3 linked regions of the Oreochromis niloticus genome follow. The protein of the gene in region 2 binds, or shares a complex with, the protein of the main gene of each other region. Links are inferred from orthologs where the notes say so. Each region holds a gene or a part of one and is shown on either strand. Other genes may lie near its edges. The genes, in order: timm17a, timm50 and timm23a.

The links.
Region 1: timm50 (region 2) and timm17a share a complex: the UniProt entries of both Homo sapiens proteins name them as parts of the TIM23 complex. The link is inferred for Oreochromis niloticus from reciprocal best matches to the Homo sapiens genes TIMM50 and TIMM17A.
Region 3: timm50 (region 2) and timm23a share a complex: the UniProt entries of both Homo sapiens proteins name them as parts of the TIM23 complex. The link is inferred for Oreochromis niloticus from reciprocal best matches to the Homo sapiens genes TIMM50 and TIMM23.

What each region holds. Positions count from the first base shown.
Region 1 is NC_031970.2:6,726,884-6,737,882, reverse strand, and holds the start of timm17a (mitochondrial import inner membrane translocase subunit Tim17-A), read right to left. Parts: upstream 5,032-10,999; 5' UTR 4,912-5,031; coding exon 4,886-4,911; intron 3,764-4,885; exon of another isoform or gene 3,637-3,763; coding exon of another isoform or gene 3,626-3,636; intron 2,897-3,625; coding exon 2,797-2,896; intron 2,512-2,796; coding exon 2,448-2,511; intron 2,092-2,447; coding exon 1,963-2,091; intron 1,262-1,962; coding exon 1,151-1,261; intron 437-1,150; coding exon 360-436; 3' UTR 1-359. Other genes in the region: lmod1b (leiomodin-1), read right to left, coding at 9,942-9,968, 10,047-10,999. UniProt on the Homo sapiens protein: Essential component of the TIM23 complex, a complex that mediates the translocation of transit peptide-containing proteins across the mitochondrial inner membrane.
Region 2 is NC_031979.2:37,472,438-37,482,783, reverse strand, and holds the start of timm50 (mitochondrial import inner membrane translocase subunit TIM50), read right to left. Parts: upstream 4,025-10,346; 5' UTR 4,018-4,024; coding exon 3,727-4,017; intron 3,335-3,726; exon of another isoform or gene 1,960-3,334; intron 1,831-1,959; coding exon 1,674-1,830; intron 1-1,673. UniProt on the Homo sapiens protein: Essential component of the TIM23 complex, a complex that mediates the translocation of transit peptide-containing proteins across the mitochondrial inner membrane. Has some phosphatase activity in vitro; however such activity may not be relevant in vivo.
Region 3 is NC_031973.2:8,932,455-8,943,025, forward strand, and holds timm23a (mitochondrial import inner membrane translocase subunit Tim23), read left to right. Parts: upstream 1-6,124; 5' UTR 6,125-6,508; coding exon 6,509-6,614; intron 6,615-6,733; coding exon 6,734-6,792; intron 6,793-6,887; coding exon 6,888-6,981; intron 6,982-7,942; coding exon 7,943-8,027; intron 8,028-8,117; coding exon 8,118-8,176; intron 8,177-8,366; coding exon 8,367-8,477; intron 8,478-9,533; coding exon 9,534-9,649; 3' UTR 9,650-10,386; downstream 10,387-10,571. UniProt on the Homo sapiens protein: Essential component of the TIM23 complex, a complex that mediates the translocation of transit peptide-containing proteins across the mitochondrial inner membrane.

The sequences.
Region 1 (10,999 bases), on a different chromosome or scaffold from region 2:
TTTTTTGATAGATTCAACATCTCAGATTCTACCTAGATACATGCAGTCTATACTGTATGTAAACAAAATAGAAAAGCACATCTCATCCTCACAACAATTCTCAGCTGTCTGTATTTTACCACTGCTAGGTGAAACAGATGCACATGACAACCCTGACAATGGCAAAAGGCAGATGTGTACATGGCTCCTGCAAGAAGGAAAATGGTGACGTGTTTTGTCGTTCACTTCTCCGACAGTCCATAAAGTTGGGTGCACTTTCTACTGTTTGATGTGTGGTACTCTGCAGCGCCATTTCTTCTTTTTAACTTCAGCAAGGAATTCAAAAAAGGCCTAGAGGATAAAGAGGTGAGGACTTCCTCTCACTGATATTGTCTGTAGTCTCCAAAGGGAGAGGTGGGCATGGGAGCAGGGGCAGGTTCCTCTGCAAACTGGGGTCCTAAAGAGGAAAAAAACTCAGAGTGAGATCAGAGCCAAAAGTCTAAAAGAGCAAACTGATGAATCAAAAAGACTTCCCAAAGGTCCTCACTGACATATGACGACTGGGTGTTTTTTTCCAATTATTCAAAAACAGTCACAAATTAAAATAGTCAGTTTCTTCAGAAAGCTGACTCAGTCTTCAAATATTCGCATTTTGCCATAACTGTAGTATCATCACTGATAAACACTGTTTCAGAATAAGTTTTAAAGATGATCAAATTCAATATGATGATCAAGTTCTGTTTTGTCCCACAATACAAACACAAGCAGTAAAATTTTGAACATTTGCAGAAAAATCAGATGAGATTTATCACACATATTAGACCTGATGTTTATAATCCATGCTACTGTGTGCATGGTGACTGGATACTGTTTTCGGCAAAGCATGTGAGCAAGCTGGGGGTTGACTAACACTCCTAAAGTACAGTCAACAAAGATAAACATATCAGGCGCTGGGCAACAAGAGCTGAAGTCGCAGTACATTCAGTGTTTTTTTTCTTTGCCGCAGTCATGTCATCTTTCATCTAAGTATTCTTTCACGCCTGATGGCTTCTGGTGCTTAGGTAGACTTTTATGTACAGTAATTTATCACAATGGGTCCTCGTTACAGAAAACACTCTTCAGTCTCTTTCATTGAGTTTAATAAAAAAAAAATCACCTAAGTATAACTCACCAGTTGGAAACTGTGAAGAGGCAAACCTAGTAAGCAGGATTCCAGCGCCCTCTATCAATGCCAGCAGGATACCTCCCATGGCGGCAGAGCCAAACATGGCTACCGGTCCATCTATGGACAAACCAAAAGCATTAATTGACTAAAATCACATAAAACATTCATTTCTGCACTTAAAAGGTAAATTCAACAAGACTGAGATGATACTGTTTGTTAGAAAATGTTCCCACCGTCAATTTTTGTATCAGTTTTAATCCACTATTTTTGGATACAACTTATTATAATCCATTTCAATAAAAGGTATATAGCACAAGTGTTTTCATGCTACTTTCCGCTGCTCGCCATTCCTGACGCAACTCCACTGGAAATGGGAATCTTTTGCTTGTCGGGCGAATGTGTAAACCACTTCTGTCCATTCAATCTTTTGTTAAAGTTGTTCAGAATTACATGAGGACCCCACAGTCCCTGTACAAATATCTTCAAGTTTTTCTGCTCCAGTAAAGTAAGCAAAATGACCAGAAAGTGATGCAAAAACTAATCTATAAAGAGAAGTAGACCAAAATGAAAATATGCAGACCAGTTACAAGAATCAACAACTCCATTTCCTCATACTGACTGCAGGAAAGTCTAAACTGGATTTACTGGACCAGCTGTTGCAGGTTTTGTTTCTTTTTTAAGAACCTCCCACAAGAAGCCACTGAAGTAAAAAGCCTGAAAATCTCACACCCAGGAGGGGTTGTAATAAATGTGGACATGCATGTGAAAGCACATTTGCTGTTTGTATGAGGTATGCAAGTTTTCTGTTGGCTACTCACTTCTTGCAGCAAGAATAGCTCCTGTCATGGCCCCACTTGTTATTGAGTTCCATGGATCCTCCTTCCCTCGCACTTTTACTAAACCGCAGTCAATCATGGAGAAGAGGCCTCCCCATACTGCGAAGCTACCTGCAACACGCCAAAGAAAAGATTTGCATCAGCTGAAGTTATCAGTGAAGATACGCTTGTCACTTTGTTAAGCAATCACCCACGTCACATATTTACACAAGTGACTTCTACCACTAACACACTTCAACAGCAAATAAAGTATTAAAAATTCTGTACACAGATTATGCCTTCGGGCTCCAATAGCAGCTTATTTAATTAAAGGATAATTACTTTAATATACGGAGCTGAAATATTTCCCAAGATTAACTTGTCACCATCGGAACTGCAGACGATGTACAACATGCTGCTGACTACAGCCCATGCTCTTTACAAAGGAAGAGAAATGACCTTTGAAACAGTTCGGCAATTGTTCTTACCCCCGAGCTGTGGGGCTCTGGTCTTGATAGCAGTTAAGCTACCCCTCATTCTGTGGCTCATCCCCTACATAAAAAAGAGAGACAAAAAACATGCATCAGTGGAAATTCACTGTCAGGTCAGGATTTCTGAGACCAAAGATTTAGAATTTTCAGATTATGATTGATAACATAAGTTGAAAAGAAAATGGTGCGTCTTCGAAATTCAGGTTGGGTTAAAAAGAAAATTTCCTGTTTACAGGGACAGAAACACTGCTTCATCATCAAGTGTTTTTGAGTGTGACACCGACCCCAAGGACAGTACCTTGAATGTCAGCTTTGACTGAGACCAGAAAACAGTCCTTGAACTTACCGAGGGTGCATTTCTGAAGCCTTTCACTGCCTGAAATATTCCTCCTCCAATAGCTCCCATGGTGAAAGCTCCCCCACAGTCATCCACAATCCTCCAGGGGCTAAAAGCAGAACACAGACATTTTAGTTTGCTTAAGTTAATAATGTCATGACATTTGAGATCTCTCATTGCATGTTCATAACAATCTCTTAATGTTCCCTGTAAGTCTAAATTAATCCAAAGGTAAAGGAAGAAGAACTAGTTTATTACTGGTAATATGACAATAAGATATAGGTCATCTGAATATCAACATTCGTAAAATCTAACTATACACACACAGACTTGGCCTTTGAGAGGGAGACCGATGTAACAGTGAAGCTGTGAAGAGTAGTCAGATGAGTTTAAATACATCCAAAAGCAACCAACAGTGCACAAGAGAAGTGAAGAAGAGATTCGGCAGGGCGGTGGTGATGGAGACTAGTGTCAGGGCTGATTTATGACAGCAAGAGTGAAAGGGAAGGTTTACAAAAGAATAGTAGTGAGACCTGCCGAGATGTATGATGTGCAGACAGTGGCACTAACAAAAAGACAGGAGGCTGAGATGAAGATGTTAAGATTGGCAGTGAACTAAGAGACAATGGACAGGATTAGAAATGAGTATTATAGCGAAAGCTCAGTTTAAACAGAAACTAAGTTTGAGAGGCAAGGCTGAGATGGTCTGAACATGTGCTGTGGACGGTTAGTGTGTACATACATACATACATTATATATGTGTACACACACACACACACATTTGACCAAAAAAAAAAAAAAAAAAAAAAAAAAAAAAAAAGAGATGCTGAATACAGACCTGCCAGACATGAGCAAAAGCGGAAGCCCTCAGAGGGGCAACGTAGTGGAGGAGGGCATGCAGAGGGTTGGTGTGACAGAAAACGATGCTAGGGATAGGGCGAGATGGAGGCAGACGAAGAAAAACACAGACACGCACACAAACACACAGGGTCACTCTCTGTGTCCTATTTTAATGACAACCTCTGACCCAGTGTAAAACATGAAGCATTACGTTTCAACACAAGGTCTGAGCAGTGAGGATTATACTTCACATGACCGCATCTCAAATTTAAACAAACACACTGCACGTTTACTTTTCACACACGACTTTATTAGAACAGGTTTACATAGTTAGATGGTTGCATTCTATGTAATATGACTTCTGGTCAAAATCAGGAAAATGTAATCGTTTATGTATGTAAAACTGGATTCTCCATTTTAGTCATAGCCATTCGTTTATGTTAAACAGATGCATTACATCTTAAATCACGAAAAGAACATTTTGCAGTGATACTGAAGGACAGTAACCTTGTGTCCCGTGTTTTTGACCATTAGTATCCGATCTTAAATTGTTATTCAAAGCTGGCCAAAATAATAAAAACATAAGTGGGAGAAAAACAGCGAACCAGGCCAACCTTTAACTTTTAAAAAGTTTATTTAGTTCACGGTTGTTATAAATTAAACCTAAACCAAAATAAGCATACACGAGGGCAGCCACCGGGAAAAAGTGTATGTAATTGTAAAAACATTTATTTTAAATCCTCAGTGACGTTGTTAAAAGTTCATAAACTATTTGAACAGGACATGTCTCAAGCTAGCTGGCGTCATAAGGCTGCAGTCTAGATAGCGCACAAGTAGCTAATCCAGCTAGCTTACTTGTGCGCCAAAGCAAAATAATACTAAAACAACTACTCCAACTTTTCCCGAATGGCTACCAGTATGCGTTTACAATAGATGTTATATGCCTTTTTTAAGCACCGGTTTGTGGGGTCAGTAAATTTAAAGCAATGACATGTGGCAATAAAACCGACAAGGTCACAACGTGACTTAGCCGTCCCGACGCAGTGCTCGCTCAAACTACCTTCACTTGTGTATGCGAAGTTAGCATTTCTGCTAACGACAGCTAGCCGGCCGGTTTCGAGGTGTTTCGGTCGTGTCACGTGATATAAAATAAAAAACATTAAACACAACTAACATGGCATGTATTCAAAACGCAGCCCACTGCAGTACACGCTGAAACAGTGCGGAAAACGGGATTAATTTTAATTTTAGGACTCACCATGGCTCTCTGGCATACTCCTCCATTTTGTTCTTTGCTGTTCCGCCTGACGTAACGATTATCAAACACCTGACGTAACGACACTATAGAGACAACGTCATGTCTTAAAGGAACAGAGCATGCAGGGGTGAAGGACGAGCTTCAGGCTGCCGTCCTGAGAGTTTATTAAAGTTATTACAGCCTATTTCGTAAAGCTATCCATAGAAATACCAAAAAATCTTGTAAAGAATGGTGTAAAGTAAAAAAGCAGAACTGTTCAATCACTATAGACTTATATTATACTTGAGTATTTTTAATTCGATGCTGTTTTCTCTTTTTTAACTGATATTGAAGCATCTAGATATTTATTTTGTCTGTTTATTTTGTTTTTATTTTGTCTATATCTTTCTTTCTATTCTATTCTGAATCAGCTTTTACTTAAGTAAAATTTGCTTAAGCCGCTTCAGATCAACTCTGCTGAGAATCATTAAAGCGATGACTGGGACTTCCAGTCAATCAATCAGTCAATTAAAACAGATTATTATGGATTTTAAAATCTTATTTGGTTTTCATATGTACCTATTTTCAGTGATATCAACTTTGATAGCAGGAAATGAACTAGGCATATAATTCTTTTCTTTCTCTCTTTTTTGCTATATTTTTCAAGTAACCTGTATTTGACAACAGTATAATAAAACTCAAAATTCAGTTTTTTTGTGTGCCACGCCAATGTTTTTAGTCCCCCCTGCCCCCATTGGCCAGCTTTTTAATTATCAAATAAGGGATACTCTGGCTTACCAGAAGCAAAGTGCACAACCAACTGGGTATAGTGTAAATATGCACTGTATGTGACATTGCAGGTAACGGTCTATATACGTGACATTTAAAGTGGAATAAGGGACAAACTAATTTTGCTTATTATACAGGATGTCCCGACTAAAACGGGACAGATGGCAACCCTACCCCCATATGGTCACCCCTATGAAAAAAATCTGTAGACGCCCCTGAAAACAGGTTCCTCAAAGGCAGGCAGATGTAACTAAAAACATAGCTTTTATTAAAGGTTGTTGCTGAAATCCAGAAATGCAAAAGTCAATGAGAAGACGCAAACTGAATCTAACAGCAGACAGGGAAAACATACAACATGACCATGGAATTCAAAATGCAAAGTTCAATGGAGTCAGGACTAGTTATACACATGGAAGGTAATCAGGGGAATCAGAAACATGAGTGTAATGAGACACTGTCCAACCAAATCAAGAAACAGGAAGTTAAACTAATTGCAAGAGACGAGATACAAAAGACTACCAAAATAAAAGAGGAATGAATAACTGAAATACTGAGTCAACCTAAGAACGCACTGAAGGGACTAAATAACTCAGTGGATACAGACTGTGATACTTAAACATAACAGGAACAGAAAGTGCAGCATAACAACACAAAACCTACACAATTAGAAACAATAAACCAGAGCACATAAAAATAAAAATAAACCCCACCTGGCTGCTGCCATCATTAATGGTGTAATAATTCACAGTTTGTTGTGAACAATTCAGTGGGGTATGAATCTTATTATAGATGTATTAAGCAATCCTTTGTAAGCAACACAAAATAAAGCTGTAAAATAATAAAAGGCAAAGATGGCACATTGTACTTGAGATGTTTGCTGATTCACATCGATAAGCAACATGAAGCAAATTAAAGGACAGCCAGACATGTATATGAGAGTTTTGACATTTCTATCAACAGAAGCAACGTCACACTGATCGCATAAAGCCTTATTTACAGCAACAAAGCTTAAAAAACAGGTAGAAAAACAATAGAACACCCCGTAATAAAATCTTTTTTTTTTTACATGTTCTGCAACACAAATAGAAATCTTCATAGCAAAATAACCACACTCTGCTGTGCTCCTAGTGTTTTCTTAGTAATAGCAATGCAATGTACTTAGAGGCCTTCTGATGGCACTGAAAACCAGTAATCTCAACATTTCATTCCTTCTCCTCTTTTTCTTCCTTCTGAGACTATTGGTCAGAGTAGCAGCTACAGCTAAAAGACAGAAGGCTGGCTCGCTGCCCATTATTAGGAACGAGAAAGGAATGACTTACAGAGCAAGCCCTCATTGAGAAATGACCAAATATAGGCATTTTGTGGATGCAGAGACTGAGGCAAGGCTGCAGAGAGATAAACTGGCCTGCTGCTGCTGCTCTCTTTTTTCTCTGGATGATGGCTACCTTTCCAGCTGGTGGGTGGACACTAGACAGCTCCCAATGTTTCCACGTAGCTTTAAACACATTATGTAAAGAGCAACAGATAGAAGAAAAGTTCTTCGTGGTCCACTGCAGAAGCACAGATATACATGCTACGAAAACATCCGCTAGTTGATATAATGTTTTTTGTCTGGTAAAGGTTCTGCCTTGTAGTTTTTTTTAAATTAATCCATCAAGAAATGCAGATACATAATAAATTTAAAAAATCTGAATCCATGGTTATTTCAGTAGTTAAACTATGAGACACGAGAGGCCTCCTGCTTTCCTGGAAAGGTATTTTTTAGCATATGGACACCGCAAGTTTCCACCTTACCCTAAGTAAGTTATTGGACCCCAGCTAGCCACAAAAATCATAGTGATGTCGTAAAATCCTGATGTGAGTACAAGCCATTGCATTTTTGAATGTATATACAGCTGTGGTCAGAAGCTTCCATACACTCATCATAGGCATGAATGTGATGACCATTTGGGGCTCATAAGGATTTCTTCGAGCTGCTCCTTTTCCAGGGTGGAAGCATCGTACAGCATACGTCTTTATTTACTTTAAAATGCAAGAATTGTGTTTGAATTTATTTGTAATTTTTTCTAATCCACACAGGGTCAAAATTATACACACAGGCCAAAAACAGACACAGACTAAAACCTTTTAATAAGTGCTGCTGAAGGTTTTAAAGTGTCTTTTAACTCGACAAGGCCGAGGTCTATTTGCTTCTTGCCAATGATCATGAGAGATTACGATTGGTAGTTCCTCTTTGTCTCCATAAAAAGCATCTGTTTGACAGCAACCACTGAATTCCCCAATACTCTGAATAATGGGAAAGTCCAACGAACTCAATGAAGTTCAGGAGAATTGTAGATTTATACAAGTTGGGAACGTTTCATGGAACCATTTCTAAACATGCCATCACCATTGACTGAGAGGGTCCCTGATCCAAAATCTACACCTTAAACCACAACTGAAATTTGCTGCTGACCCCATGGACAAACCAAATGCCTTCTGGAGAAAAGTTTTATGGTCAGACAAGACAAAGATTGAACTATTGTGGTACACTGACGAGAGTTATATTTTAAAGAGTAGAGGTGACCCTTTCAAACCAAAGACATCTGTACCAACTGTGAAGCATGGTGGCAGTGGTACTGGTACATTGCACAAAGTGGATGGACAAATGAAGAAGGAGGACTATCTCCAATTTCCTGAATTTCACCTCAAATTAGGAGCCAAAAAGCTGAAACTTGGACAAAGTAGGTTCTTTTAACAAGGCAATACTTCTAAACAGACAGAAAAACAAATAAAAGGCCAAACCTCAATCCTTTTGAAAATTGTGGGCAATGTTTAAAAGGCAGGTCTGTGCCAGGAAACCAACCAATTTAAATAAAATCTACCAATTCTACCAGTATTAGTCAAATATCCAGCTGGAAGCTTGCTGATGACTACCAAATGTGTTAAGGGACATTTAACCAAGTATTATTGAGGTATAAGTATATATTTGAGGCTCTATGTATAATTTTGACCCCGTGCAGACTTTGGAAAAATTAAAACTTGTGTACCCAGTTCTTATTTTTCAAAGAAATTAAAGCTGTGTGCTGTACAATCATTGCAATATGGATAAAGAACAGTTCGAAGAAATCATTAAAAGCCTGAAACATGCCCATGATCAGTGATGTAAACGTCTGAGCACATCTATATTCATACAAATATAATCATATGCACATATATATAGAATTAATGACATTATCATATACATAATTTGATTTATTGTAGCTAAAAATTATAATATAATAACAGATTATTAAAACATTCCAATCACTTCTATCAGGCAGGTATCATTAAACTTGCAAACATAGCAGAATCTTTTATTGAAAACATACAGGCTCTGTAAGAAAAACGTGTAATAATGTATGTGCTTCATTACAACACTCGGGTTTTTGCTAATCACATTAAATTTCCTTTAGAACTGATATTCACTTTTAAATAGCACATTAACCAACAGTAGTGTTGATTTAATGGTGTTTCTGACATTTTGATGTAAAACCCAGGCTAGAATGATTCTGCACAAAACACAACATCAGACGCTGAAACTTATCTTCCTGCACTTCCTGATAAAATGCATGATGTAATTATTTCCGTGCTAAGACTCATTCGTTATGTCCCAGGACTCCACTGGGCTGCTTTCCAAACCTGCCTGAGATGTCTTGAGATTTGAGACACACAATCAAAGACCACCTTGACCTTTTTGTTTTCTCCACCCACCCAGATTTTCTTAAGTCAGGCCGCCATGTTTGTTAATTCCCTGATATTCCCAGTTTGACTTACAGATTTACAGCTAATAAGGTGGATTCCCTCTCCACAAATAAATAACTTTTCAAATTAATCTCAATTACATACTTTTGAGTATTAGTTTTATAGAGTTGTTTGAATCTCTTATTAAGCTCATCACACACTCCCCCACACATTCAGATGCATATACACGCCAACATGTTATATGATCGGCCTCATATTATCTAGTGCAAATAACCAGCCAAGCGTCAGTATGAATGGAAGACAAACAGCCTCAAACCCATGGCACTCTCTGCAGAGAGCCCTTCATCACTCATTCTCCACAGAGTCTTTTTGGTCCAGTGTTGTTGGGAGAACTCATAGTGAGGGCTGTTCGTCCAATCGTCTCATGTTTCACTGTCTTCATCTGCCCCACTGCACTTTAACCAGCCAGGGGAATTTATAAAGTTTATCCCCTAGAAACCCTCTGGTGAGATGTCTGTTCTCCCTCGCTCTTCTTCTTCTTCACTTTATATTCCAGCAGGAAATATCACTGCAGCCACTTTGGCACCGGCACCTGTGAGAAAAATAAAACATTAGTGAATCCAAACACAGCATCGGTGAGCTAACCTCTTCGTCAACCCTTCTGATGTACCTTCTTCAGCTGTTTTATATTGGTTCCTCTGATAGAGGCAAGCAGTTGGTCCCTTGAGTTCTTCGTACCACCTGGGCGGTTTGCATCCACCATAGGAGGTGGAGGAGGTGGTGGTCCACCCCCAGGAGGAGGCGGAGGTGGTGGTGGAGCCGGACCTCCAGCTCCTTTTCTTGGAGTGAGCTTTGGCGAAGGCACAGGTGAAGGGATGGGTGAAGGTTTAGGCGAAGCTTTGGGAGAACTCCTCAGAGATCCTCCACCTCCGCTCTTGGGCACCTCAAGTGTTCCCTTCTTCTCCCCATTGGCCTGGGCCTGCTTCTGCTCCTGCAGGCGCTTCTGCCTCTGCCTGTCCATGTTCCGACTCAGTATGTTTGTCGTGGTCATTCTGGGTCCTGCTAACTCAAAGTGATAGCCCAGCTTGAGCAGGGTGGTGTTGTCTTTCAGGATCTTGACCATCTCCATCTCGGTCTTCCCTCCGCAGATGTGCCGCTGGTTCTGAAAGCGCAGCTCGGTCAGCGTGGAGTTGTGCTGCAGCGCCTGGATGAGAGACAGGATGCCCTTCCCGGTGAGATGGTTGGAGTCGAGGTTGATGCTGGTGATAGTCTTGTTGCTGCGGATCGTGCCGGCAATGGCATAAGCGACATGGTCGTCCGCACGGCAGTTAGCGAGAGCGAACGTCTTGACGTGGGTGTTGTTGTGCAAAGCTTCTGCGAACTCGATGAGCGTTTTCGTCTTGATGACCTCTGAGTTGTTGACGTTGAGCTCAGTGAGGGAGGGGTCGTTGCTTCGCACCTGCTGCATGAGCTCATCAAACATGCTCGAGTCTTCGTCTTCCTCCTCTGCCTCCTTCGCCTTGCTGTTAGGGCTGTTTTTGGAAGCACAGTTAGCAAGTTTCCCACTATCCTCAGCTTTCTTAACCTTACCGTCCTCTCTTTGCGCCTTCTCCTCTGGTTTCC
Region 2 (10,346 bases):
CAGAGTCCGGTGTTCTCACCGGCTCTAGTGAGCCTTCAACCCCCGCTAGCTAGCGAGCTGGTGGGTAACAGACATCTCAGAAAACGTCGGAGCACTTTTGAAAATATGATGTGTCTTGATAAACCAAGCAGTTATTTTAAGTTTACACAGCTACATTCTTGCCTGAAAACATGTTAATCGTTTATTTTGTGACCCAGAAAGAATAATAAGAGTAACATTAAAACTAACTAGCTGCCGCCATTGTTGGAAACTGAGCAGGGCCGCGATGGGTCGCGCTATGAATTCTGGGACAGTTTCTTCTTCTTCGGGGTTTAACGGCAGCTGGCATCCTTGTGCATGCAGTGCTGCCATCTTCTGTTTCAGTCCGTTATTACACTCTTAAATCCTACTACTTATTCCTGCGTCTTTTGCGATCTTACAAAGCTTCAAACGACGCGTCGACTATTAAATTAGAAATCGTCGACGTAATCGTGACTAGTCGACTAATCGTGGCAGCCCTACTGTCAACGATGCTCTTCACCATCCTCAGTCTGACTCTCCTCTGAAGGACAGGCTGCTAGCTCCACCCATCTGTCCCTGCAATCAGGGAGCTGAGTGTGACCAATCACACCCACCTTTCCATCACAGGAAGAGGAAGTTCAGAGCCTCAGCGCAGCCTGACATACAGATTATACCTGCTCTTTTGTTTTTTTGTGGCTTTTGAAGATGGTTCAAAGAATAAAGACCTCCTGCTGCATCTCCTGGAGGCCGTTTGAAGTGCCTTAAACTGACATGTTTAAACCCAGCAGCAGAACCAAACATCTGATCCATCTTTCATCCATGACCAACAACCACGTGCTGGGTTCATGTTTTCAAACAGGGGTATAAAAGTGCCCGGCCAAAAAGCCCACTGTGATCTTTCCAGGAGTTTAATATTACTGACCCCCAGGGTAGCTGTGGCGCATTTATTCCAACAAAACCATCATTAAAATCTAAAAAGAAAAATACAGAGCTGCCCTGCATACATAACCCCTGTATCCTTACAGCACACTCGCATGAAGGAAACAATAAAAACCCTCTTCTCTGTTAAAAATGCCACACCACACTAGACTCTGTCAACTATTAGTTTAAAAAAACGCTCCTTAAACCTTCTCAAGAATTTCTCAGTTTGTCCTCTGACTGATCTGCTTTTCTTTCTCATGGGAGGTTTGACAGGATCAATCTGATGTGTCCTTGATCCAACACAGCTGATTCAAATGGTTAAATTACCTCCTCAACATGTCGTGAAGTTCTCCAGAGGCCTTGTAATGAACAGGGTTTAGATGACCCATGCTGATATCTAAAACCTGCAGGACACCGGCCCTCGAGGCCTGGAGTTTCCCAACCCTGATCTAAAACATTAAAACTCTGCAGCTCTTTAATGTTTGTCAAGTTTCTGGATAGAAACCAGGTAGAAACAGCTTTGTGTCTACTAAAATTTATTTTCAGCTCCTTTTGTCACATCACTCCTACAGAAAGAGGTCGAACCAGATTTGAACATAGCGACCTGCTACTGAGCAAGCTGATTGGCTGACAGTGACTGTGTTTCCACCTGTGAAGCAAACCGGCTGAAACTGACCCTAAGTGAGGACGCTGTCAGGAGAGGCAGCAAAGACTCTCCATCTGAGTGCACAGGACGAAGCTTAAAGACTCACCGAATATATAAACGATGGCAACCGCGGCGCCGACTCCCATGAATCCCGCCAACCGCAGCACCATCTTCTTGGCGTAGGCCGTGTTCTCCTTCTGCTTCCTGTCCTCGGCCTTCTCTCCCTCCCTCTCGCCCTCCCCTCCCTCTGGAGGAGGCTGACCCTGAAACAAAAACAAGCATTTCTGTTTAACTCTGAACTAACATTAATGAAAAGTGCTGCACTGATGCGCTCACCTTCAGTCTGAACTGAGAGGAGAGCGTTAGAGACGTCAGCTTCAGTCAGTTTAACACAAGGAAATGTTTTTCCTTGTGTTGTAAAAAAAACAAAAACCCAACAACTTTATTCCCAAAAAGAGAATTTACAGAAACAAGATAAACTGACAGGAGGCGGTTTGGTGTGTGTGCTGGCACAGTCGACAGAGCGTGGAGGAGACGAGGAGAGCTGTGCAGGGCATTAGAGGAGCGCTGCATGACTGCTACATAGCAGCCTTCATCATGCTCCTCTGGCATGTTTCTGAGCAGATTGTCAGAATCAGACCGCATGTAGCAGGGCCCGGGCTCACAGCACAGTGCAGCAGAGGACACCACAACCAACAGTCCAGCTCTGGTGGATGAGAGCAGGTTCACACTGAGCACAGGAGACAGGTGAGAGTCTGGAGACGCAGCGGTGAACGTTACGATACCTTCAGGCTCATCCAGCATGACTGGTTTAGCTGGATAAAGTCTTCAAACCCAGTCTCAGGTCTGATGCTGCTGCAGTAGGCCCTCGTGTAGCCGGGGTGTGTAGTGAGTTTCTGAAAGATGATGACACTCATGGTCCCCAGACTTGAACCCAAGGAGAACCTCTGGGAGGTTCATGCACCTGATGCTGAAAAACAGAACTGCAGACTGCAGCACGCACAGATGCACTGGTCCATGTCTGGGAGGAGATCACCCCTAAAACACCGTCCATCATCTCATCAGGAGCATGCCAAACTAACTGAAAACTTATGGGACAATTTGATTTGGAATCCAGCAGTTAAAGAGTCGATTCAGTTTCCACTCATCAGTGTTATTTTATTCAACATACGTCAGCAAAGATTGTCAACCTTAACATTTCATTCATTTGTGTTCCTCAGCAGCATTCACACACGCAGGCATGGATGTGTGAATGTGTGCATTTTTAAATGTTATACAGACTGACAGAAACCAAAATGGTCTAATGGAAGGCTGTTGATTTCCTTCGTGTCCAATTAAATTCATGGATTTTAACAGATTTCAGAACTTCCTGCATCCGCTGCTGGGAAGAAGTGTAGTGGCAATTACTCAGTCTTTGACTAAAATCCTTTTTACAGTTCGTCTGTAGATGTCACAGTTTTATGTTTGGAGTCTGTGGGAAACACACGGTTAGGAGTCACGTGGTGGGTGGCTTCCTCCGTGACCAGACACCACATCTGCGCTGCACATGGAGGAGGAGGGTGGGGGTCTGTTCTGACCTTCAGAGCGAAACAAACCTCGGCTGCTAACGCGATTTATCCCGCAGATAAAATCAAGCTGTGCCCCTACAAACACACACACCTGCAGGTGAAGGGCAGGTAACCACAGCAGTGCCAGCTGCACGCTCACTGTCACACCTATGCTCAGATGTACACACACTGTGAGGACACTCACGTGAGCCAGACTCAGGTAAGCTGTGCTGCTACAGCCAGACTCTAGATAAACGCATGCTAACATTAGCATGCTGGCTAGCTAGTTAATGCCGGGTTCATTCATTCAGCAGACAGCTGAGCCCGCGTGGGGTGGTGCCGTCATAACGTCACATTTGTGAAGATCACGTGTGTCGCGACAAACCCCACAAAACACACAGTTTAGTCCGTCTGGACCCGCGTGGGTCAGGAAAAGAACTTTATGTAAGCTAGCTGTCAGTCTGAGCTAAGGTTGGAAATGTTCGTTCATGAGTTGATTTACATCACCAAGGCGGCTCGTGAGGGAGGGGTTTCACGGTCGGACCTACTACTTAGTACAGTTGCCCCCGCCGACGCCACTGAGTGCTGTTAAGGTTGTAAAATGAAGCGCACCTGTGTCGGCTGCTGCTGCTGCTGGAGTCTCTCCTGGAGGATCGCCTGAGCTAACCCGCCCGTCGCACTCCCCGCTGCGGCCGGCGGCTTGTCCGTGGACAATGTCCGGATGACGTCCACCATGGCTGGGGCGGAGGCACCCGCCGCCGCGCTCCTGAGCCGAAGGAGGCCCCGGCTCGCCCGTAAACACATGGGGAGCACACACACAGCCGACATGTTGGAAAGTAGCACTAGAGCTAACGCAAATGACGCGAGTAAGAAGGACAAAAGCACCCGATTGGCCGAGGCCATGTGAGGGGCAGGCAGACGTCCCAATCAGAGGAGTGGAAAGCCACGTGGGGCGCTAGGAGGGAGGGCTTTGTAGGGTTGACACCAATCAGAAGAAAGAGTGAGTCTGACCTTCGATTGCGACATTAACCCTCATATTCTCCTCAAATATTACTAACACGTTTTACCCCCAAGAGATATTTGCCTCCAGAAAATGGTTTGCATATAACTGATGAGGAAGTGTTTGTGTCAGGCACTTTGTTTATTTATTGAATACATAAATAGCCCCTTGATAATGAAACTCTAGCGCCACCATCGGGCCAGAATTTTAATTTAGAATAAATGTATCTTGAAAAGTTTGCATTCAAATATTTTCAAAATTACTGTCAACATTAATGACCACAAGTGGATGAACCCTATTGGTTTTTGTTGATGACATGACCTTTTCTATAGCGCCACCATCAGGTCAAACTTTTAATTTTAGATTTAGCACATCTTCAAAATCTTTCATCCAATATTTTTCTAATTATGTTTCTAATCAGGTGCTTCACCAGGGGATTTACCTGTGTAAACGTGCATATTCCAGGCAAAGCTGGACTGTGCATTACATGCTGCACATATTTTGATGCCACATGTGAGCATTCGAAAAGTTTGGTTTACAAGACCTGTGCTGGCAAATGATATGGGGACTGTAGATCACTTTAAATAGTTACTTACTGAGCACTCAAACTAGTACAAAAGTTATTATTATTGAGGGTTGTTTGTGCAGACATGATGGAAGGCTGTGTGCAAGAATGCAGGAGTGAACCAGAGCAAGGTCAAGAAACAAAAGCCCTCGAGATAGATGCTGCCTCAGATGCATGAAACTGGGTAACAGGTGTGTGTGTGTGTGTGTGTGTGTGTGTGTGTGTGTGTGTGTGTGTGTGTGTGTGTGTGTGTGTGTGTGTGTGTCCATCCCTAGGTGAAGTTGCAGCTGAGGGAGCAGAACAGAGCACAACCAGGCCGTCAATAAGGGGGGCTAAGGCTAAACCATGGCCCCTTCTCAACGGTTTTTGACCAATCAGGTAGACGCATATTCTCTTTTATAAATATGGGTACCGTTAAGTTAGGGCCATCTATTTTCCGTGAGTTGGCTACAGAAAACCGATGCAGACTGTGGTTTTCCAATGAATTATTATTTCAACAGCAATAAATCTGTTTAACTTTAACTGGACCTGAGCTCTCTTTCTGCGAGAAAAAAAGAACACACAACACATATTTGGCAGGTTTTCTCAGCATATATTGCCGATATGGACAGCAGCTACGAAGCGCAACCAAGCACTCATCAACAGTCGGATGTGGGGCTGGATTGTACAGCAGGGGTAAATGCTGTGCCCACTTGTTCCACACGTACTTTTTTGCTGCAAGTTTGTCATGATCTCATCGGCCCTGCCTTGTTTCCCTGTCATGTATGACACAGGACAAAACGTGGAAGGTCCTGAGAGACATGGCGGCTGGAAATATTGCCCTTTCAGTCTCAGCATTACAAAGGCTTGCTGTTGCTTCACCTTTTGACTTGTAAACTCCTGCCAAACAAGCCAATGTAGCCTTTCAAGTCAGTTACATCCAAGTCTTTCCAACTGTCCCTGTACACATGCGTCCCCTCTAAATTTGTCATCTGAAGTACAGCATTTTCAGTTGACTGTGTCATGAAGAGCTCAAATAATGACTTGATGTCCTCAACATGGTTCACTGCGTATCTGGTGAGGTCTGGATACATTTTGATAACAATAGCAGCACTAAGTCTACCCTGTTGTTGGAGTTGGAAAAGGGACCAAATTATCGTTCCATTTTTGGAAGGGATTGCTTCTGCTGGTGGGTGAGAGCCAGCCGGAGGGTCAACACTCTCATTCTCATCAAATGAGAATTCTTCAAAATCAGGGTCCTCCTCAACACAATCCTCTGTTTCTGATACATTTTCCTTTATGTCTCTTTCACTGTCAAAGAGTTATGCCAAAACCTTATTGACAGTAAAGCTTTTCCCAGAGGACATTTTTTTTTCTTTTTATAGAGGATACAGATTGGACAGTACACGGTGCACTCAGACTAATGATTTAGAAAGAAGGCTGTCATGGAAGCTTTTATAAGTTTGCTCCTCCCTTATTTTACATGAGCTGAGTCCATGTCCTTGTGGGAAATTCCCAGCCACCACTGCATGAGAAATATCAGTTCTAATTTCGCAGGTATGAGTTTAGTAGCACACACACACATCTTCAATACTTGGGCTGTGAGGTCAGCTCCATGATCGTTAATATGCAATATGTACCATTCACAGAGAGTTGGGAAATGGCTGCAATCACAGCATTGTAAGATGGTGACAGATAACACATTACCTCTTAAGTTACAAAGTTTGTTTGTATTGTGTTCAGGAAGTGGGGACAGTAGAAGGAAGTTTGACTTTAAGCATCAGTTTGCTAAGACCACACAAAGGCAAATGTGTCCGACAGTCAAAGGTATAAGAATATGGAATTCTCTCGAAGATAATCTCAAGAGTTGTACAAACATGCACCGTTTTAAAATGTGTTACATACTTAAAAGGATAAATCAATATGAAGAACATGAAAGTAATTAGGGCTAAATGTGGAAGAAAATTTTTCATTGCCATTTAATGCTGTATATTGCTGATTATATTGATTTGTTGTTTAGTTTTGCATTGTTACATAAAGATACATGTTAGAGGGTTTTTTGGGGGGTATTGGCGCCCTCTTGTAAGAGTATTTGGATTGCAGATAGGGGGCAGGTGCTAACAAGAATTTATTCTTCTTCCTGCTCCTTTTCACCCATGGGTGCAGAGTTATATTAATGGGAAGGAGGTTTTGTATGTAGGAAAAGAAACACTGTTGAACCATGTGTGAAATAAATAAAGAAATGAAATGAAATGAAATGTACCCTTAGGCCGCCTCCTCGATTCAGAGATGCCTCTTTGACTCCGCCCTCAAACCAGCGTTCCTCCCTGTCCAGGATGTGTACATCCTCATCGTTGAAAGAGTGTCCACTGGCCTGTAGGTGTAAATAGACTGCAGAGTCCTGGCTTGACGAGGTAGCTCTGCTGTGTTGTGCCATCTGCTCTGCCAGAGGTTGTTTGGTTTCCCCGATGTATAAATCCTGGCAATCCTCCTGGCACTTAACAGCGTACACTATGTTACTCTGTTTGTGTCGGGGGACCCGATCCTTGGGGTGGACCAGTTTTTGGCGCAGCGTGTTTTGGGGTTTAAAAACCACTGTTCCGATACTCCTGACACATACGGGATCACTATGGGTTTTCTCTTAGGCAGCGGTTGTCCTTCTCTCCTGGATCAGCTGGAGTTTTCTTTAGGTGCCTTCCCAGCTTTGACAAAAGTCCAGCTGGGATAACCACATTTACTCAGGGCCTTCTTGATGTGATCATCTTCTGCTTCCCTGGCTGCTGTGTCAGTGGGGATGGTGTTCGCTCTGTGTTGTAGCGTCCTGATGACACCCAGTTTGTGCTCCAGTGGATGATGAGAGTCAAACCTTAGATACTGATCCGTATGTGTAGGTTTACGGTACACGTCAGACTGGAAATCTCACAGTCTAAGAAAGCTAACCTGCCACTTTTCATATCCTCCCTGGTGAATTTGATGTGTCGGTCCACTGACAAATAAATAAAGGATAGATAAGAGTCACTTTGCCAAAAACTGATTGTGGCTTCTACCTTGTGTGCTGAGCTGTATGTGTAGCTCAAGATGAGTTGATATCATTCATGAGAATACATTTGACATATGTTTCACATATTCTAGGCCAACACGTCATTTACAGTAGTTTAAACACAGATATTCATTTTTTGGCAAATTGCTCTTTGACAAACATCACTCCCTGGACAAAACCTGACCCGTAAATAGAGGTTTTAACTTACCTGTACAGGTTTTATGATGGTCCCAGAACATTTCCCTCTCTCTCTGGTGTCTTTTCCCGCTGCCCGGCCTCACTTTCACATGGCACTTTACGAGGGACAGGCAGAGGTCTTATATCAGACCCAGAGACCCAGACTCCCCCGTGCACGGTATCGGTCAGCGTTGGCAGAGATAAACGGGAGAGATGTTGAAATTCGGCTTGAAGGAACAAAATGTTAGAAAAATTCTCGTGAGACACACCGAGTAACAAGTTTCAACGTGTTTATTTTACTTGCAAGGAAGCAAAAGCATAAACAGTAAACATCACAAAAATATAACAAAGCTTTCAGAGCACAAATCAAATGATGCTAACATCAGTTAACCATTGCTATACATGGTCTTACAAAAAGTGCAAAGAGAGGCCATGATGGCACATGCACATGAAAAACAAAGTATGTCTGAATTCAGGGTGCTGAGGTTGGGGTCATCCTGTAATCTCTTACAAAGTAGTTAGTTCTTAAGAGATTACAGGATGACCCCAACCTCAACAACAGGACCACTCTCAGCATTGACCAGGTGTGTTTGCTTTTGGAACTGTGTCTTCATTCCACCTGTTTCACATACAAGGGTCAGTACTACAGGCAGAAACACGGGTGTGCCATGGGTTCCCCAGTTTCACCCACTGTGGCCAATTTGTACATGGAAGAAGTGGAAAAGAGGGCTTTGCTATCCTACCCTGGAACACCAGCAAGTCATTGGTTCAGGGATGTGGATGACACCTGGGTGAAAATCACATCTCAGAATGTACCACAGTTCACTGATCACACAATAATAATAATAATAATAATAATAATAATAATAATAATACATTTTATTATTTTATTTGAAAGCGTCTTTCAAAACACTCAAAGTCACTGTACACAGTAGAGTAAAAAGCCAGATAAAAGCAAGGAGTTTATACAATCATAAAAGCATAAGACATAAACAAATTTAAAATAGTCGAATGGAGAGGTTATGTGGGATAAGCCATCACAGGAGTGATGTGGTGGACAGAAGGGGTCCTGGTGATGATACGGGCAGCAGAATTCTGGATGCGTTGAAGCTTGTGGATGGATTTTTGAGTAAGACCAAAAAGAAGTGAATTACAATAATCAATCCGGGAAGTAACAAGGCTGTGGACAAGAATGGCAGTGGCATGTGAGGTGAGAAAAGGACAGAGACGATTAATGTTGCACAATTGAAAATATGCAGACCGAGTGACATTATTAATGTGTGAATTGAAAGAGTACTGTCGAGGATGACACCCAAACTTTTCACAGAGTATTTCACAATGTATGAGATGATGCATAAGCGTCCGCTGTGTTGCAACTATAACAACAAAACACATGTGGACATAGCTGTCCACTGTAGTGACCACTACACTTGAAAGGGTTAAGATGACTAATTTAGTGCAACTTATTTAATGTGAGTACATAGTATTTAAAATAAATTGATTATTTTGAGTAGTACTAACCCAAGTACTGAACAAGATGCCCCATCAAACTGGTACTAAACAACTGAACTCTACTGGTAAAGACAGCCTAACCCATTATAATTTACTTTCCATTTTCAGTGTATTTCCTTTCAGAATTGAAAATGATCAATTCTGCTCATGTTCAGATGAAGTGCTTAAAAAACCTAAAAGGAGGAAAAGCTTAAATTTCCTCTTTTCTGTTTCACATCAAGACTGAACACTCTCAGTTGGTTTTACAGATAATGAACATATTTTAACAGGTGAACAATTTTAGGATCATATTTAGTTTTTAGTTGCCTCAGTTTTGTGAGTGGAGCCAAACATGGTTTCCTCATTCCTGATAAAGTTTAGGTGATACTATAGTATCACAAATAAGGTGTCGTCAATAAGTCTTACTAGGAAGTCATTCTCAAGAAAAAAACCCCTCAAAATGTGTTATTTTCTATCTTGTCCACATTATCAGCCTTGAGCGAAATAAGCCCCTAACACCCCTCTCCATATCCGTTAAACCTTAAAGCTAGGATGGTAAGGAATTGCAAGAAATTGTAGGAAAACAAACCGTATTGCAAGAAGAAACTATTTACTCACAAAATCAATGAAGGAAGGGCAAAAATTATGCTGATACTGACAGTAAAGGGCAGAAAACTGAAGTAGTGTCCGGCTACACCAGGGTGGGGTCCGTCATGCTCCAGAACAGACTGAGCGCAAAGTCCCAGCAGATTCATCGGCACGTCTAAATTTCAGGTGGAAAAGTAAAGCCACATTCTTTTCAAACATTAGTATTTGATCCATGTGCTGACACTGTAGTGCCCCTTCCCTGTATAAATAAGAGATACATATGTCTATAAAATCACAAAATCATCACGTCAGACATTTGACTCACCTGCAATTTGCTGAAAACATTTCAAAATGAGTTGAAATCAGTAAGACATTTTAAGATATGTGGGGTT
Region 3 (10,571 bases), on a different chromosome or scaffold from region 2:
ACCAACCAGACGACAGCGATCATGGGAATAAACCTCAGGACCCCGCCCACCACCGAGTCCTAACCCAAACTTTACCAAACGTGCCTTCTTCCGATAGCCCAAAGCCAGTCGAAATTACAACCTAGACTTTACTGAGGATGGGCCACAAACTGGTGAAGGGCTCCTAAATAACCCCCGGCTGTGCCATACTGTCTCTCTGAGCTACCATGCCTTCAGTCCATTTGATGCAATAATAATAACATGGTAACTAAACTGATAATGGCGGTACTTATCCAGCACAGAAACCCTCCATAAACACTAAACTGACGGAGATATGTTGATATTTTGATACATTTTTTTCCTCAGCGGGCACCACTCTTACCTTAATCGCATTATAACATTTATAATTCATTTACAAATGCTCACGTATTGTCATGCTTTCCTTTTAAAAAGGCGGTTCCAGAAATGCATTTGACAGGTCAGATACTGCACAGCGCGTACCGTCAAAAATGTCTCTTATTTCCTCTTGGTAACACATAAAATGCCAACGTGGAGCTTTTTAAAAAAAACTTCTTTCATTATAAAGCGACAGGTGCTCGATGGGGAAAAAGAACAAACTGGAATCCAAAATGCCAAAGTATCTCTGAGTGTTTCCTAATAGGTAACGTGTCTTTATACTGAGACGACACATACAGGACGAATGCCAAGCCTGTGCAGTATGAATACACACATAAAGGGGAGGGAAGGTTGCACTCCTTTTGTCAAATTCTCGAGGACTTACACAACGATGCCTTTTTTTTCTCCACACTACAGTATTCAGCGAGCTTGAACAACAGTGCCTTTATTTATTGAGAGCGATGGAACAATGTTACACCTAAATCTTTTACTATGGCATCATGGCTTTGTGCCCAGCTTGGTATTATATCATCTACATTTTTACGACTTTACATCCACGGCTCTTCTCAATTCAAATTACGGTGCCAAGAGAATAAATAAAAATAATAAAAGGTGGATCATTTGAATTGGAAGTGCAACGCAGTATCGAAGCTACATCTGAAATGTTTATGCGAGGTTCGGACGCCTCCGTAGAACAGTGTTACATTTTATGTCTGTGTTTTATTGTTTCTTTCGGGTGATTGTGTTGCTGGAGATGAAGTCGTCCTTATGTCTCTGCATGTGTTTTTTTTTTTTTCGAGGGTGTGGTACGGTTTTACAAACACAAAAACACACACACGCACACACACACAAGCCAAGTGATGCCTTGATATAAGAGAAAACATGCATTCGTAACATCTGTAACAAGTTTATAATGTATTTTTATATCCTATTTTGTACGTGAAAATAACATTAAATGACCTTTTCAGATGAGAACATTATGCCTTATTATGGAGAATAATTTGATAACTATCACTATCCTTCATGTGTCATAAGTAATCATGTCACAATGTCCTGATAAACTGGAGTCTCTGATGTTCTCTGTATTAACTTGAGCCTCCTTTGCTTGCCTTCTGTGCCTTTTTGTATACTATGAGTGTGACAATTAACAGTGTAGTACAACATTAATCTACTCTTCAGTGCCAAGTGTAGGTTACTAACTGTTACCACTTCTGTGATTATTAACCTCTTTAATGGTATCTGTCTCTGCCTTTAAAAAAAAAATACATGTGTGTCTAAAAAGAATTAAAATGAAAAAAGGAAGATACGTGTTGAACGATGATCTTTTAACTTTTAAAGTATTCTGAGCAGGAATAACTCTTTGTAAATGATTAAACTCATAGTTGTAAAACTAACAAACTTTGTTGCTTTTTCTCTGTAGCACTTAATTATGCAAATCGGCTTCCTTTCCGCATACTAATCACCAAACACTCCTCAGATTCACAAGGGGTGGGGAAAAAACCCAAGCTGATACTTAAAGACAAAAAGCAGGGAAAAGGGCCAAAACATGTTTTTCCCACTTCTCCTTTTTTTCTTCTTCCTGTGTTCTGGCTCTCTGTCTTCCTCTGTTATTTAAGTGGACATTGCACACATTGATGTGTGTAATAAGAGAGAAGAAAACACCCAGCTCACCATGGTTTCTCACAGGCATGCACATGTATAACAGAAAAAAAATAAAAGTGGGGGGGGGGGGGGGCGTGGGTTTCAGGTTTGGAGGACGAGATGGCTGGGGAATTGAAGGGAAATTGATTGTGCAAGCTCGCCCTTAAACATCTGCAGAGTAAATATTCCACATGATCACGGTCCGTCCCTGAAGCCCCAGAAAACCACAGCTAATAACCCACATGCTGTGTGTCATGGTAGCTATTGCTTGTTTTCATTTAAACAGAGAAATTCGAGCCTGTCGACACCTGTAGTTTAAAAAGTTCTTTTTAAAACTGCAGATTTAAAGTTTCTCACACGCAAAAAAAAAAAAGCAAAAAAAAAAGAATCACATGAGGGTTTTTTCTGTGGTGAATGAACCCGTGGGTGGCTCATTCGCCCTCTCCCTGCCCTTCCTGCTTTCATTGTGGAGTCGGGGGGGGGGGGGTTGATATTGAACTTCAGGCTTGGAGTTGAGCCTGCACTGTGGAGGCAACCCCACTGATCACAGAGAGAGAGAGGGGACATAATGTGACCACTGCTGACAATCCTCTGGACAGGAAGAAGCAGAGTGGAAGCACTGAGTGGACATAGCAAGAGAGAAAAAAGAGAAGAGAGAATGTGTGTGTGTGGATAGAGATGGGTGGGGGTGCGTGCATGTCTGGATGGGTGTGTACCCTTGTCTTCATTTTTCCTGTTTTCACTTGAGTTTTTGTGCTTTTTTTTCATTCTTGTTCTCTGGTATGAAACACTCTTTAAGCATCTGGTAATGTATTCTGCAGTCAGCGCTCCCCATTGCCAACACTGGGGCCCAGGGCTCCCAGAGCTTACAATCAAAGTGTGTTAGTGTGTGCATGTGTGTGTGGGAGAAAATGAGCAAAAAGTGAGAAGGAAAGACAGGTTGATTTACATTGCTATGTATGCACAGCATTCTCCACATAATGAACAGCCCCTGATTTCCTCTGCTTGGTAAATATTTGATGACTGAGCGGTGGAATGATTTTAGCTGAAATTCAGAGGACTCCTACAAGCTGCTTAAAAGTTGTATTTCAAATCCCTCTCTCTCTTTCTCTCTTGTCCTCTTCCCATGTAAATAAGGCCAACTCCCCCTAACTCCACACACCCTTCTGAGGCAGTTTAAAGACCCAACACTGTCTCCTTGTATCCTTGGCAACCAGCATACACTGGGGTCCTGTCGTGGCCTCTCTGTCTTTTGTGTTTGGGAGCTCAGAGAGACAGAAAGAAAGAGAGAGAGGGAGAGTAAGAAGAGAGGAGAGGAAGGAGACGAAAACAAGACTTACTGAAAAAGACAACAAAGATGACATCACCGCTATTTTATCCCACAACTGAAAATTTGGTTTGTAGCCCAACGGTGATGAGAATGATGATTATGATGATGAGTAGCCAGAGGCACAAAATGGGTAGCAGCTCAATCTGAGAGAGAGAGAGGGGGGGGGAGGAGAGAGAGAGGGGCCCAGGGCTGAATGGGGCATTGTGGGAAAGACAGTGGGCACACTGGGCAGTAACACAGAGAACACTAACTCACAGATCATGCCAGAGAGTCTGAAAACACCCACACTGGGCGACAATGGCAAACTTCATCGCTCCACTTGGCCCCCTCTGAATACACACATACAATGGCAGAATCCAAATAAGATGCTCTGTTATTCGTGAAATTCAACACACTACATTCCTTCAGTGCCTCCATCCCTTTGGACAGCAGCAGATGGCCTGGTCCGAGCTGCACTGAACGTGCACGTCATGTGTTGCATCACAGGTAGGGCACCCAGCTGGCCTGAAAGGTGTGACAGGTGTCACGTGGAAGTTGTTTTACCTCCCCGGCTCTGCTTCCCTGCTTCAAGTAAATGCAAATGGCGTCATGCAAATTTAACTTGTATGTGCCACCACTGGGAACAAATTTAACTTAATCAGTTAATTAAATCAAGCCTAATTAGAGCGAGGACCGAGAAGGACCAGAACCAGCAGGTTTGACCCTCTGCAACTGGTTTCATCTATACGGTGGGCTCTCTGCTGCCACCCTGTGTCGAATGTGAGGAATTGCACCTCTTACTCGAGAAATATTTGCAATAAACCGAACAGGTAAGGAGATAAAAGACAGGAAAATAAAAAACCCACAGCATGCGTCAGCAGGAGAGCTGAATTCGTTATCTGACTGAATGACTAGTTCCAAGAAAGGTACGACAATGAGTCTTGATGGGGATTTTTTTTTTTTCACAATTTCACAAACTTCTGATAGAAGGATTAGATTAGAAATAAAATAAGTAAAAGTTGCAGTAACGCCACAGAGATCTATGAGAATTAAATAATGATTAATAATCATGGGGTTATCTGTTGTACTAATTTGTTTTATTGCACCATATGTCAAACATCTGAAATTCATCTGCTTCATCTGGATGTTATCAGTCCACTCAATGGATGTGAGTCTCAGACAATGAGGCCTACTGATTGGATTTTTAAGACGTTTCAGTTTTTATACCCATTAAATAAAATGAAGTGTGTAGTGAGTATTTTGTACATAAAATAATTGTTGGTATATTTGTAATTAAAGTATTTTTGAAGCTGACAATAGAAAAATCATGAGGTCAAACTTGTTTTCAAGTGCAAGAACAATATTGTAAATTTACCAGTTTATACTGTATAATCATTATTACCAGGAGAAGCAGAATTTTAAAACAGATTGTTCCTCTTTCTCTTTTTTATTATGTTTTACCATTATCGACATTTTCATATAATTACTTTTACTTACATGGAATATATTCTTGTACCACCAATGCAATTTCTATCTTAAAAACATTCTATATCTGCTTTTATTATGCAAGGAATCGTGAGGCTGCAGAACAATATGGATTTATCCCAGCCAATCAGCAAAGATCAGGCTATGTGACAGATAATGACATTATTGCATGCAATCAATCAACAGTGACCTGGGGCATTTCACACCTCTGCGTTCTTTCAGGAAATTGGGTTTTTCTACCCCTACCTACTCTCACACCCGCGGTCATAACATTGAAACTAACAGCGGTAAGTTGTTCTATTTTTTGTGGCATAAAAAAGGTAGCACCATATTTGATCACAGGCCCTGTTCACCTGAAACTAGTGCAAGTAATGGTAAGAACATTTTTTGACATACACTGGATGGATCTGTGAACCGTACTTATTTCGTATTACAGACATTTTCAGGCTATAATAATTAAATATGAGTAATTTTATGGGTTTTTTTGCTTTGTTTTTGTTTTTGTTTTGTTTTGTTTTTTTACCTTTTAGCAGTTTTTATTATACTTAAATTGCATACATTGGTGTTTATTTTCCCTGTTAGTCTTATTACTGCTAAAAACGATATAGTAATTCAATATTTGTGATTTATTTTGATTTTGATTTCATTACAAATCAAGTCAATATTTTATCATTTTGTTTTTGGTAGATCTTTTTTTTCTTTTTTCTTTTTGCAGTGGTCTACTTGGCTCTTGTATGGAAGCTTACCCATTCAGTACTATGCAAGAGAATAACATAACATATTTGGGTTTATACAAAACTGTGTGAATGAACTTACATTAACTTAAATCTTTGAAGAAATGTATAAATAATTTGCCAAATTATCTTACTTGAGATTACAACAGCTTCACCAAGTACCATGAAGCAGGTGGCTGTGACTGGTGATATGCAGGTTTGTGTGTAAATATATAGCATAATAACCACATTGTCTTATTGGATACTACTACCTTACAGTAGTTTCACAAAGTATCATAAAGCCTGTCACTGGTACATGTAATATTCTGATTCATCAGAATATTACATATATTATTATATTATATGATCTCTATAGGGTTGAAATTCTGAATTTCCATACCCTATAAAGGGTTAAATGGATCTCGTGTCCACAGTTACCCTGCAGTCAGTTTTTTTACGCTCTGCCTGGTCCTCAAGTTTGCCCTTTAGTTAAGTCAACAGATCCCAGATCCGTTGAACTGTCGTAAAACCGTGGTTTTATTAACGATATCAGAAAGATTTTTTAGTCGACTTATCACTAATAGATAAGCAATAGTACGAACTTTTGGTGTTAAAAACAAGTCTGAGCCGATGTTTTCTCTCATTTTTCACAAGTTACTGTGGGTTTTGTTGACGTAACGACAGTGCAGCACCGGTCATCGCTTTACGGCGGAGCGTGCTGCTGGAGGTCAGAGGCATGACGATAACGCGAGATTGGTAATATCGAAGCAAAAAGACGTAATTTTCGCTCTAAAAATCCAGCAAGACCAACAAATACGACCTGTGTTGACGTTTCCTTCTGGCAGTAGTGAATTCAGGAGCTCGTCTGATATACGTTTGTCTAATAGCTTGAGGGTTTCGACATATCTTGCTAACGTTAGCCAGTCGGCTACTGTAGCAACTCCCCTTCAGCCTCCTGTTTGACTCTCGGAACATTTATCCAAGCATGGATAACAACTCACAAGGATCGGGGGGAGTTAAAGCAGGCCTGGGGAGTCTTTTTGGAGGGGGTGCACCTCAATACTCCAACACAGAGCTTGCAGGTGTCCCACGTAAGTGTCATGCAATCTAACTGTGATGCTAGTTACTATTACATTACTTAGGTGTTGCTGTACTGTCATTCAGTATCTGAAAAATCAACTCAGTGGATAATTGATCGTTTACATTACAGTGACTGGAATGAGCCCTTTGTCCCCTTATCTCAACGTGGACCCACGTTATCTGGTTCAGGTAAAGCTGAGTCTGTCTCCTTTTCTTTGCTGTGAGTGAGAATGTTTTGGATTTTTTTTTTTTCCAGGCATGAGTATTTGAATCTTGTGTTTTAGGACACAGATGAATTCATCTTACCTACAGGGGCCAATAAGACAAGAGGAAGATTTGAATTGGCTTTCTTTACCATCGGAGGCTCCTGCATGACTGGTAAGAAACTGGTACACTGACAAAACGGGTTTAGTGCTGAATATGACTTGGAAGCATGTGCAAATTAAAGTACTGTATAGTACAGACTAAGTAGAAGTATGTTGATGTCCTTGTTTTGTCTGTCCAATTCATCTACATTTTTTCCTGTTGAGAGCGACAGCTGTGGTCAGAAGATTACATAAAGGTGGAATGATTGCACTGCATACATCTTTAATGAAAAACAAGATTGAATTTATTTTTGACAGAGTCTAAATTACACATAGAGGCTCAAATATAATATACCAACTATTATTTGGTTAGCAAGTTCCACCTTGATCAGATGCTTTTGGTTTCCGTCAATAAGCTTCTGGCATAACTGTGGCTGGACATTTGATGACACTTCTTGGCAGAAATGATAGTTTATTTGTTGTTTCCCGCATGGACCTGGCTTTTAAGCAGAGTCTGTAACTTTGGAACATATTCATGTTCCATTCACGGATATGTTCATATGGGTAACTGCAAATTTAAGTCGAGCTTGAAGGTTTTTGGAGCAGGGGATCTTTCATGGTTGGCACTTTCTCAGCCCATGGTAATGTAAAACTGGCTTTTACATTGAATTTGACTTATGGACAGTGAGGCTGGTGTTTTGGTTTCCAGTTCATGGTAGGCTTGAGCCTTGGTGGTTCCTAGGTTGCTCCTGAACGTGCTAACCAATTTCCTGTCATAAGGGTGACAGTTTTGGTCATCTTCCAAACCTTATGTTCAGCTATGTTTAAAAAAAACAAAAACCAAAAACACAAGAGACAGACATAAAGTGTGGGTATAGAAACACAAATGCAACAAGAACACACACACAGTTAATGGCATATAAATCTGTCAATGTTATTTATTAAAACCAAAGCATGATGCAGGTGGAATAGTGTGAAATAATCCTTTGACTGACCCTTTGTTGACCTTTTCTGCATCCTTGTTTGAAATGCAGGGGCGACATTTGGGGCATTAAATGGCCTTAGAATGGGTTTGAAGGAGACCAGAGACATGGCATGGTCCAAACCACGTAACGTACAGTAAGTTTGGTTACAGAATTCAGTTTATCGAATGGTTTTACGCTTGGATTTGGGTTGCACGTTGTTCAAATGTTTATCTTCCCTCCCCAGGATTCTCAACATGGTGACAAGGCAGGGCGCTTCATGGGCCAACACTCTGGGCTCTATTGGTAAAGCTTTATTGTTACTTAAAAAAATGATGTAGAGGTGTTACTGTAACAAGAATATCTATGAATCCCATGGTTGGAAGATCTTAGTGTTACTGATTTAAATGGATGGATGTATTTACAGGATTTTTAGTTTTCTAATTCAGTATATAATCATAATTTAATTATTTTGTTTTTCTTTATGTCACTGCAGCCTTGCTGTATAGTGCTTTTGGTGTTGTGATAGAGAAAGCCAGAGGAGCAGAAGACGACATCAACACAGTGGCTGCTGGGACATTAACGGGGATGCTCTTTAAATCTGGCGGTTGGTGTCTTTTCCTTTTTTCTGCTTCTACTTTATATCTGGCATTAATGTATATTAATGTACCTCTGTGTGTTTTTAACCTTTTAAATATTAGTTTTTACCAATAAATGATCCAAACATTAGTTTTAGCAAATATCAGGCTGTCAGCAAGCAAAATGGCATTTACCAATGTTGGTGTTCATCAGTTATTTGTCATTTATTTTGCTCTGCAGTTTGATAAAGACTGAAAATTTCTTTGGTTCTTGTTTACAAAATGGGTGACAACATAAACAAAGTAAACACAAACATGTATGGAAATGCTCAGTTTTTTAGTTAAGCCTTGCCAGTACAGACTTGGACCCCAAGTCTGTACTGGCAAGCTGCCTTAATTGTTGCCTTAATTGTTCATGGCATCGATTCAGCAACGTGCTGGAGATTTTGGTCCACACTGACATGATAGCATCACAAAGTTGCTGTGCATTTGTCAGCTGCGCTTCCATGATGACTCACCACTTAGGTGGTCTGTTGGATTGAGATCTGGTGACTGTTGCCATTCAGCTGGCAGATTAGACAGTTGCGTTAACAAGCAGGTGAGCAGGTGTACTAAATAAAAGGGCCAGTGGCTGTTTTAAGTTGTCAGTTAGCAGACTTTTAAAATCCTATTAAAATGATAGTTTGTTCAAAAGAATGAGTTAAATGTGACACATACAGTGTTCATATTCTCTTATTCGAAAAGCTATTAGCAGGGATTCTTTTATATTAAATCAAGGCTAAATTTTGAACCATATGTCGTAATCATTAATACTGCACTGACTTATTCATCTTATGCTGTATAAATGTTGTGTGGGCATGTCGTGACTTACAAAGGGCAGTACAGTGAATGCGCAGGCACTGAGATTATCTTTGGAAAGCACCTAAACTTTGTGTTATTAATTTACTCCATGCTGTTTGAAGTATTAGGTTTATCTTTGCCCACCTGGTACTTTGGCTAAGCTGAAGCAATTATTGTTTACTGTAATTAAAATGATTATTGTGATGCATGTTAAGCTGTATGACTCACTCTGTTTGTTTTCTCAGGTGGATTAAAGGGCGTAGCTCGTGGAGGTCTGGTTGGTTTAGCCTTGTCTGGTGCCTACGCTCTCTACAACAACTGGGACCATCTCACCGGCTCTCCTTCATCGAGGCTGTACTAAACTCCCCCACACAGCTGCTTCAACATTAGGGCCAAATATTTTGAGGACGCAGCCTTTAACCACAGCGCTAAAAGGCATTAGACTCTGGTCAAATGCTTTTTCTTTTTTTTTCTTTTTTTCCATTTTTGTTTAGTTTTTTGGGGGTTTTTCATGGTGCGAATTGGTCGCAGTTCACTGGTTTCCCATCATAGCTGTTTTCCAGGAGCATTCTGGGAACTATGAGATGTGTCTTGGAAAGGTTTTGGACTGAATTAAAAGGAAATCCAGACGTAGACCGTCCAGTGACAGTTCTCCTTTCATTTATGTTGATTCTCTGAGGTGTTCCTGTCACTGATCTGATCAGTAATGAGAGCACTCTGTGAGGATGCGGTATAAAAATATACTTTTTGCGATGATTGTTAATGGAACACATGTTATTACGCTAGATTTTAAATACCCATGATATTTGGGTTCAGTGAGTCAATTTGTAAGATAACCTCCAACATCTGTCGTGTTGTTTAGCCCTTGGATAACAACACATTCATGTTCTGATTCATGTTGGACTGAAAGACTCTTCTGTAATAGAAAAACAGCTCAGACCTGCAGTCAGAGGGAAGCCTTGGGGTTAGTTTACTCTTCTATTTATTGAAACATATTGGTTTCTGGTCCACTGTGGAAGAAGAAATCACTGTAAACTGTACCTTGAAGTGCATGCTGTTAATATGTGTCCATCAAACCCACTGTATTATAGATTAAAATAAAATAAAGAAAACAAAACTAAGGAGGTGTTCAGAGATTTTGCTTTTAACCAATTTTATTGCATAAATGAGATTGGATGTAAAAGGTGGTGAGCAGTGTGTACTATGCAGTGCTTCACCAGAGTATAAGTATATACTGTAAGAAGATGACAACACATTCAGAACATGTATTAACATCATGGAGT